Danio rerio: one gene and its partner. The protein of the gene in region 1 interacts with the protein of each later gene in a pairwise test. Links are inferred from orthologs where the notes say so. Each region holds a gene or a part of one and is shown in the gene's direction. Other genes may lie near its edges.

Region 1 (3,832 bases):
CGCTAGCAAGACTCAGAGTGGAGGCTAACTTTATTAGCAAGCCCGTGGGGACAAAAGGAGGGATTTTAATGTTAAGGCTGCGGATGGAAGGAGGGGGATGGAGGAGGAAACGGGCGAGGGGGCGGAGGGGCTCGCCTTCCCGTTAATGTTGCAAAAACTTCACCTTGGTTAAGTAAAAGGAGGGTTTATTTAGCAGTATTCACACTGTGATTTACAGCCTATTCTGACTCAGTGCTTTATGAGGCGTTCTGTGCGTTTAGAGTGGTCTCTCTCTCTCTCTCTCTCTCTCTCTCTCTCTCTCTCTCTCTCTCTCTCTCTCTCCTCTCTCTCTCTCTCTCTCTCTCTCTCTCTCTCTCTCTCTCTCTGGTTCTGCTACATTGATCATGACCGTTTGTCAACTGCAGGCACATGACAAGCACAAACAAAGATGCCTGCCGTAGTATTCACAGATTTGCTAACTTATTACTGGTTTGATTGCTTATAAAATAGTCACATTTGCAACAGAACCCGGAATGATGGTCAGGCCAACAAGGCACAGGGTTAAGATTAGGTAAACAGTGAGTTAGTTAGCATGAACAAACAGTAAACCCTACTTTTATAACAATTAAAGTAGATAATAATGCTTAATCCCTAAAAGGAATTGTGTTCATTTAACATTGGTTTACTACATGAGCTATTTAAACCAACAGTGATCTATATTGCTATATAGCATTTATTAATCTTAGTAAATGGTGCATAATCTTTAATAAAGAGTTTTCACTGATTAACATAATGCTAAATTAGTTACAATATTGTGTGCTTACAATTAGCAATATTGCTGCAACATTTAATAATAACAATGCTTAAACCACAAAATTAATTTTGGTAACACTACAATATGGTTTCATGCACTGTAAAAAAATATATGATCATATATAATATATGTGTTTAGTTCATTTTAACTTACTTAAGCTAAGTTAATCATGTTTTAACTTAGTATTATTATTACTATTATTATTATTATTAGGTTATGCAAGCTGTTTTAAGCCAATTTGATGTAATGTAAGTTCAAATGACTCATAAGGTTAATTTGATTCAACATAAAAAATTAAGGCAACCAGTATTTTTTTACAGTATATGTTAGTCAGTTACTGCAATCTATGAACATTATTTGTAAAGCATTTAATAATTAGTTAATGATACAAATCTAAATTTAATTGATTTCTTATTCATTTGTTATCATTAGAAAACTACAGTAGTTATTTTGAACTAATAATGAAAAGTACTTTTACAACATTTAATTATATTATTATCTTAAATTGTAATTTTTTTTTGTTGAATCAAATTAACATTATTATGAGACATTTTAAGTTAAACTGACTTAACAGGTTATTTTTAGAATAAACTCCATTTGAAACATTACTCAACCTATTTTTTATTTAAATTTAGAATAAATCAAGTGTAATTCACTTAATTACCATAGTTATACATACAAGTTTTTTAAGTTTAGAACCTCAAATAAATTAAGCAGCTGAAATTGTTTAATTATTGTATGTTTTGAAACTTGCTGTTCATTTAGTTGCATGTAAGAAATAAATTCAACAACAACATTTTTGTTTTCCAGTATTTTTATTTTTTTTATTTTATACCACAGTTTTTCAGTATTTTACAAAAACAAATGTGCACTGTCCATATAAACATTATGAAAAATAACAAAAAAACATCAGTGTGCGGACTCAAAAATACGAAACAACATAAAATGCAAAATAAAGAGCAAAATCTACTCTGAAAAATATTGTTCTTGAGACATTATTGAAGTTTCTAGAGGTAGCTTACATTCACAACATATATATGCCCATCAGCAGAGCACAGCACCTTGACATATCCATTCCATTTAGCATTCTGATGTCCCCAACCATGATGGTTTCCGTCTTGTAGTTAAATTCCAAAGTAGAACAATCACCAATTGTCTTCACTTGCCCTTCAAGGTCCTCCTCAAATTACTGTGCATTATTGTAAAGCACTGCTAACATCAACTGTATTTACCAGGAGTAGCCAACACTCCAGTGAGAAAATTGATCTAATAATTAAATAAATCTCAGATATCTGTCTTTAAATTGTATTTTGTGCCAAACAGTCTGCCTAAAACTTGAGCTTTGAAATCCAGAAGTCTATTTGTGTAGAAAAATAGTGTTATCCACCCAATTTCTTTGGGTTGCTACAATTTAAATATAGTTTCAAACTAATTGACAGACATATTTACCTTTAAATTAACTGCATTTTCAGTTGATGTAATTATCAATATTTCCCCGTTGTGAAAACGTAATGAAATTATTCTGACAACTTAAAAGTTTTAATCTAATCAGCAATTTAGAATTTTTAACTTACAAACATGTATTTTACTATGTAGTAATAACAGACATTTAGAGTTATTTTTAGAGTGTGTTTTAATAAGCAGCAAAAGCCTTTTTTTTGTCTTGGATAAGTTAATTACCATAAAACTTCTTGTCATGACTAATTGCTTTAAATTTGAGTTAAATTGGTTGACATTTTGGTCCCACTTTATATTAGGTGTCCTTAACTACTACTGTATGTACCCAATCTATACATGTATACATACATTAATGTGTTTATATTGGAGAACACTGGTGCTCTTGAGGTGGGATATGGGTAAGGTTAGAGACAGGTTTGGTGGTATAGGTAGGTTTAAGATGTAATTACTGATTAACAGTGTAATTACATAAATTAATTACAGATGTAGTTACATGTGTGCATTTAATCAATCATTCATACAATGTAAAAACTTGTCTTTAGACAATAAATGCATTGTATCGATTTATTAATTTCAGTGTAAGTACATATTAGTTCAGGCCACTTAAATAAAGTGGGACCGACATTTCACAAGATTTTTTTGTTTCTTAAAGGTATAGTTAATTACAGTAGTTAACACAAGCTAACAATGAACAACACTCCTGCAGCATTCAATATTGTTGGTGACACCTAATCCTTACAATTAACTGGGTTGATACTTTACAATAAGCTTTATAGTTAACTACATTTGTTTGTATGAAATAGCAATTAACAATTATTCAACAGGAATTAATAATATTAGTTCAGAATAATTGCAACATTTAATTAGTTTTTTTAAGTTTGTATTTTCTAGAATCAAACATAAAGAATAAGAAACCAAATTTCCCAGGTTATAAAAAAAGACAAATGGGAGAAAATTACAGAATAACATTGCAAAATGTGCCTTGCTTTCAGTTAGTCTGTTAGTTTGAATATGTTCAAACATGTTAACTTGCAGCTGGAAGGGCATCGGCTGTGTAAAACATATGCTGGATAAGTTGGTGGTTCATTCCGCTGTGGCGATCCCTGTTGAATAAGGGGACTAAGCAGAAGGAAAATAAATAAATGAATGTGAACTGTTACCGTTAGCAACTTAATGCACTTTACATTAACAAACTATAATCAGCTTTGTATTACTGGCTTTAATACAGATGAATAAACGCTGCAGAGCACAAGCTGCCATTGTAAGTTTATCTTAGTGATGCGTTTTTCTGTTTATGTGTGTGTCTGCAGGCGTTTCGGGACAAAGTGTGCATCGTGCCAGCAGGGGATTCCTCCTACACAGGTGGTCCGGAAAGCTCAGGACTTTGTGTACCATCTTCACTGTTTTGCATGTGTGATGTGCAGCAGACAGTTGGCCACTGGAGATGAGTTCTACCTCATGGAGGACGGCAGACTCGTGTGCAAAGAGGACTACGAAACAGCCAAGCAGAACGGTGAGCTGCTGATTCCAGATCAGGGGAAATCAGGCCTTCTTCAGCTGTGCATTCTAAGCTATCTAACT
Region 2 (4,597 bases), on another chromosome or scaffold:
CTCTCATATTTTTACCTACATTGGAAAGGATGTCCAGCCACTCATTCTCCTCAATATCAATCCCTAGATCCTCAGATTATTCTCAAATTAATACTTCTAAGTTTTCATTGAGCATCATTTTGTAACACGTAGAAGCAGTCCTAGTATCCTGTGGTGACTGTAAATAAGCATATACAGGGTTGTCGTTCACGTTAAGTTTGTCCTTGATGCAGTGTCTAACTCTTCGCTGAGGCCATCTTCCAGCCTCAACCACGGCGAATGAAGCTCTGCACAAGACTTTTGGCCAGCGGAGAAATTAAAATGGTCGTGCCCAACTAAGTCTGGTTCTCTCAAGGTTTTTTTTCTTCACTCCCATCAGGTGAAGTTTTTTTTCCCTCTCCGCTGTCGCCACTGCCTCGCATGGTTCAGGATTGGTAGAGCTACGCATCGATGAATTGGCTCTTCAGTGTTTGAACTCTCTGTAATTATTAAATCACACTGAACTGAGCTAAACTGAACTGAACTGAACTTAAACACTAAAACCTGAACTACACTGTTCCAGTTACTATGACCATTTATGTGAAGCTGCTTTGACACAATCTACATTGTAAAAGCGCTATACAAATAAAGATGAATTGAATTGAATTGAACTAAATCAGAGTATGACATGTATATACCCTCCTCATGCAGATCCTTCACTTTAGCAATTCCTTTTAGTTGCCATTGTTTTCAAACCAAGTTTCCTTTTTGAAGTGTGTAATAAAATTATCAACACCCTGCTGAAAAATCCAGCTTAAACCAGCCTAGGTTGGTTAGCTGGTTGACCAGCCTGGTTTTAGAGAGGTTTTGGCCATTTCCAGGCTGGTTTACAGTCATTCCCAGCCTGATCTTTGCTGGTCAGGCTGGAAAATGACCAGCCTGGCTTATAGCTGGTTTTGGCTGGGCTCCCAGCCTGGCTAGGCTGGTCAAGCTGGATTTAGCTGGTCATCTACCAGCCTGACCAGCTAAGACCAGGCTGGAAATGGCTGGAAACCGGCATGGAAATGGCCAAACCCCCTCTAAAACCAGCCAGGTCGACCAGCTAAAACCAGCCTAGGCTGGTTTAAGCTGTTTTTTTCAGTAGGGTAAAACTTGCAACTCTAGATTTTTGGAAATCGAAAAAATAACAAAAAAACGTATTTTATTTGAAAAGTAACCCATTCACAAAACAAAATGTATGCTGACTGTACCAAACTGTGAACTATTTTTCATCGATCTAAAAAATGTGTATGATTCCCTGCTTCTGTAATGCCATTATACTAAAGCTATTAAGACATCCCAACTGCTGGAAAAAATACTTAATGTACATGATTAATTTTTGTTGTTAATTCACTTGTATAATTCTGAACTCCCCTGTTTACTCAATGGAAAGTACTAGACGACTCGAGCAATTCCACACTCCTGCGCAGCAGACGGCGGTAATTGAAAAAAAAAGGCTCATGCGCATGAGCGGAAGTTCGCCGGCATGATGTAAGATGCTAGAAAGAGTTCCCCGGATAGTAAGTGCAGTGCGAAGGTCAGTAGCGTAAAAAGCGAGTAAGTTACTGTAGAATACAGTACTCTTCTTATAATAATACTATTAAAATATAAAAAAATCAACATGCCGAGAGGAAGCCGAAGCAGAACTTCGAGGATGAGTCCTCCAAGGTGGGTAAAAGAGAGGAGCATCATGAGCTACGTGCTGTATTATCATGTTATCATTTATAATAATCGTGTGTCATTTACTCAACAAACATTTATAAACATTAGGCTCATTATAGTGACAATATATTGTTTCTGAAGTCTGAGTCCCCTTTGGTTGTGTTAGTTATTATTATAAAGAATAGTGGTGGTGATTGGAGAAGTGCGTGTTGAGTATTGAAGATGAATCTACATCAACTTTTGAGTATTTTTAATATTTTAAATATTTCATATTGTGATAACATTAGACATATTCACTGCTTGAAAAGTCTTATATAGCATTTCGTATGAAATAAAAACATTCTCCAGTGTAATTTTGTGTTTTGAATATGAGCATTTCCAGCGTTATGGATGTGACATTTGCAGTAACGTATAAACTCAAAACATAAATTCGCATAGAAAGTGTATGTTAATATTATATTGAAACTTCTGTTTGTATTATCCAAATCAACTCACCACAGAGTTAAGGGAGCTGAAAAATATACATTTGTAAACATGTTTTATATTTTAAATGAGGAAAATAAAGATGTGTTATGGATGTGACCAGAAAAGTATATGAATTTATAGTCTTCAACATATTTTGTATAAATTCTGTGAATTAAATTGCACAATCTAAAAGAAATAATGCTAATTAAAAAGGATTAGAGTTGACTCACTATAAAACAAACATGTTTGGTATTATTGTATTTTATATTTTTGCATTTTTGAGGAAAAAGTATCGTTATGGATGTGACATCTCTCCGTTATGGATGTGACAGATGTGAAAATGCCACTTGTGTGACTGGTAAATCAAATATAATAGTTTGAAAACATTGACAGAGACATTTCTGAGAATTTGTAAAGTACTGTAAAATACTTGCTCACAAACTTAGAAATGGTTTTTCGTATTTCGGTGAAAACGTCATTTTTTTCATGGCGAGGTTGACATTTGCATGAAATTGCTCACAGCGATTAATTAGAAAAACAAATAGGTGTAGAAAATGATGTCTACTTTGAAGTATTATTTGATTATTTAACCTTAAAACTGAGGAAGTTAACAGGAACAAAATATCTGTTAAATTGTTTACTGATATGTGAAAATTTGTATTTCTCTAACTAAGTTTGCAGTAAGCTTTAAGTGACTCCAGGCTAATATCAATCTCAATATTAAAATCTTAATGAACCTAATCAACATCTCCATTTATTCGTTTTTTTAATATAAAAATAAAATGAATCTGAGCACAGGTTAACTACTTTAGTTGTTTAGAACTGCAAGTTTAAATTTGAAAATTTGTGTTATTGCCAATATCTATGTTATTTTTTTTCCTCTTTACACCGTTAAGCTATTCCAGCGTTATGGATGTGACACTTGCATGGAGTTGCTGTGACAGATGTGAAATTGCCACTTGTGTGACTTTGTTAAATCAAATATAATAGTTTGAAAACATTGACAAGGATATTTCTGAGTATTTCTAAAGTGCTTTAAAACACAAAAAACTTTTTCGTATTTTGGTGAAAATGACATTTTTTTTCATGGCGAGGTTGACATTTGCATGGAATTGCTCACAGCATTAAATCAGAAAAACAAATAGGTGTAGAAAGTGATCTCTACTTTGAAGTATTATTTGATTTTGTAACATTAAACAAGAAAAACAAAATAATCTGTTAAATGGTTTACTGATATGTGGAAATTTGTATTTCTGTAACTAAGGCTGCAAAATACTGGTTAAGTATGCGATATTCTTGTTGAGTATTGCGATAACGATTTTTTTTATGATGTAAAATTTCTCTAGAAAAATAATAATTTTATTAGTCATGTTTTAAAGTCATTCCAAATAAACAGATAAGTTTATTTTTCAGATTAATTAATTATAATCAAGCCTAAATAAGAGGTGTCGATATATCAACATTTAGTCTTTAAAATGCTACAAATGAGTGAAAGGTGTATATCGCATATACTATTATAGTGATAATTTTTCAATAAGCTTTTAAGTGGCTCCAGCCTAATATCAGTCTCAATATTAAAATCTTAGTGAACCCAATCAACATCTCCATTTATTAGTTTTATATATATATATATATATATATATATATATATATATATATATATATATATATATATATATATATATAAAATGAATCTGAGCACAGGTTAACAACTTCAGCTTTTCTAAGAACTGCAAGTTTAAATTCGAAAATTTGTATTAATGCCAATATTTCGGTTATTTGTTTTCCAGCGTTATGGATGTCACACTTGCAGTAAAAACTTAAAACTTAAATTCGCATAGAGAGTATACGCTAACATTATATTGAAACACCTGTTTATATTTTTCAGAACAACATGCATTATGGATGTGACCCAAATAAAATATATGATTTTACTCGCTAGATATTTTCTCTGTAAACCCTAGAGATAGTTGTGCGTGAAAATCCTAGTAGATCAGCAGTTTCTGAAATACACCAGCCCATCTGGGACCAACAACAACAAACTCGGTTTGATCTGAAGCAGATCGTCATGACCGTGTCTACATGTCTAAATGCATTGAGTTGCTGCCATGTGATTGGCTGATTGGAAATTTGCATAACAAGCAGTTGGACAGGTGTACCTAATATAGTGGCCAGTGAGTGTATATCATTACATAAATTTATATTAAAAAAGGGTTAATAAAATAGCATTTCTCTAGGAAGGTTTTTATATCACAAGAAATATCGCTGTCACAATGCTCAACAGCAATATGGCACATTTCCCCAGTATCGTGCAACCCTACTCCAAGTCATTGTCAAAGGACAGGTAATTGATTGTGCAGTTTTCTTTTTAGTTACTCCTCACCAGCACCGATGGCTCGAGCAGCTCCTCCGCGGTCTTACGCACCCGCTCCGGCTCCTCCTCCACCTTCAGCGGTGGCTCCTCCTGCTGCTG

The links.
Region 2: the proteins of lhx4 (region 1) and chchd2 interact in binary tests that used the Homo sapiens proteins (3 or more experiments, as listed by UniProt). The two-hybrid records come from large-scale screens. The link is inferred for Danio rerio from reciprocal best matches to the Homo sapiens genes LHX4 and CHCHD2.

Annotation. Positions count from the first base shown.
Region 1 is NC_133183.1:16,230,593-16,234,424, reverse strand, and holds part of lhx4 (LIM/homeobox protein Lhx4), read left to right. Parts: intron 1-3,561; coding exon 3,562-3,764; intron 3,765-3,832. UniProt on the Homo sapiens protein: May play a critical role in the development of respiratory control mechanisms and in the normal growth and maturation of the lung. Binds preferentially to methylated DNA.
Region 2 is NC_133190.1:6,040,769-6,045,365, reverse strand, and holds the start of chchd2 (coiled-coil-helix-coiled-coil-helix domain-containing protein 2), read left to right. Parts: upstream 1-1,523; 5' UTR 1,524-1,618; coding exon 1,619-1,665; intron 1,666-4,496; coding exon 4,497-4,597. UniProt on the Homo sapiens protein: Transcription factor. Binds to the oxygen responsive element of COX4I2 and activates its transcription under hypoxia conditions (4% oxygen), as well as normoxia conditions (20% oxygen).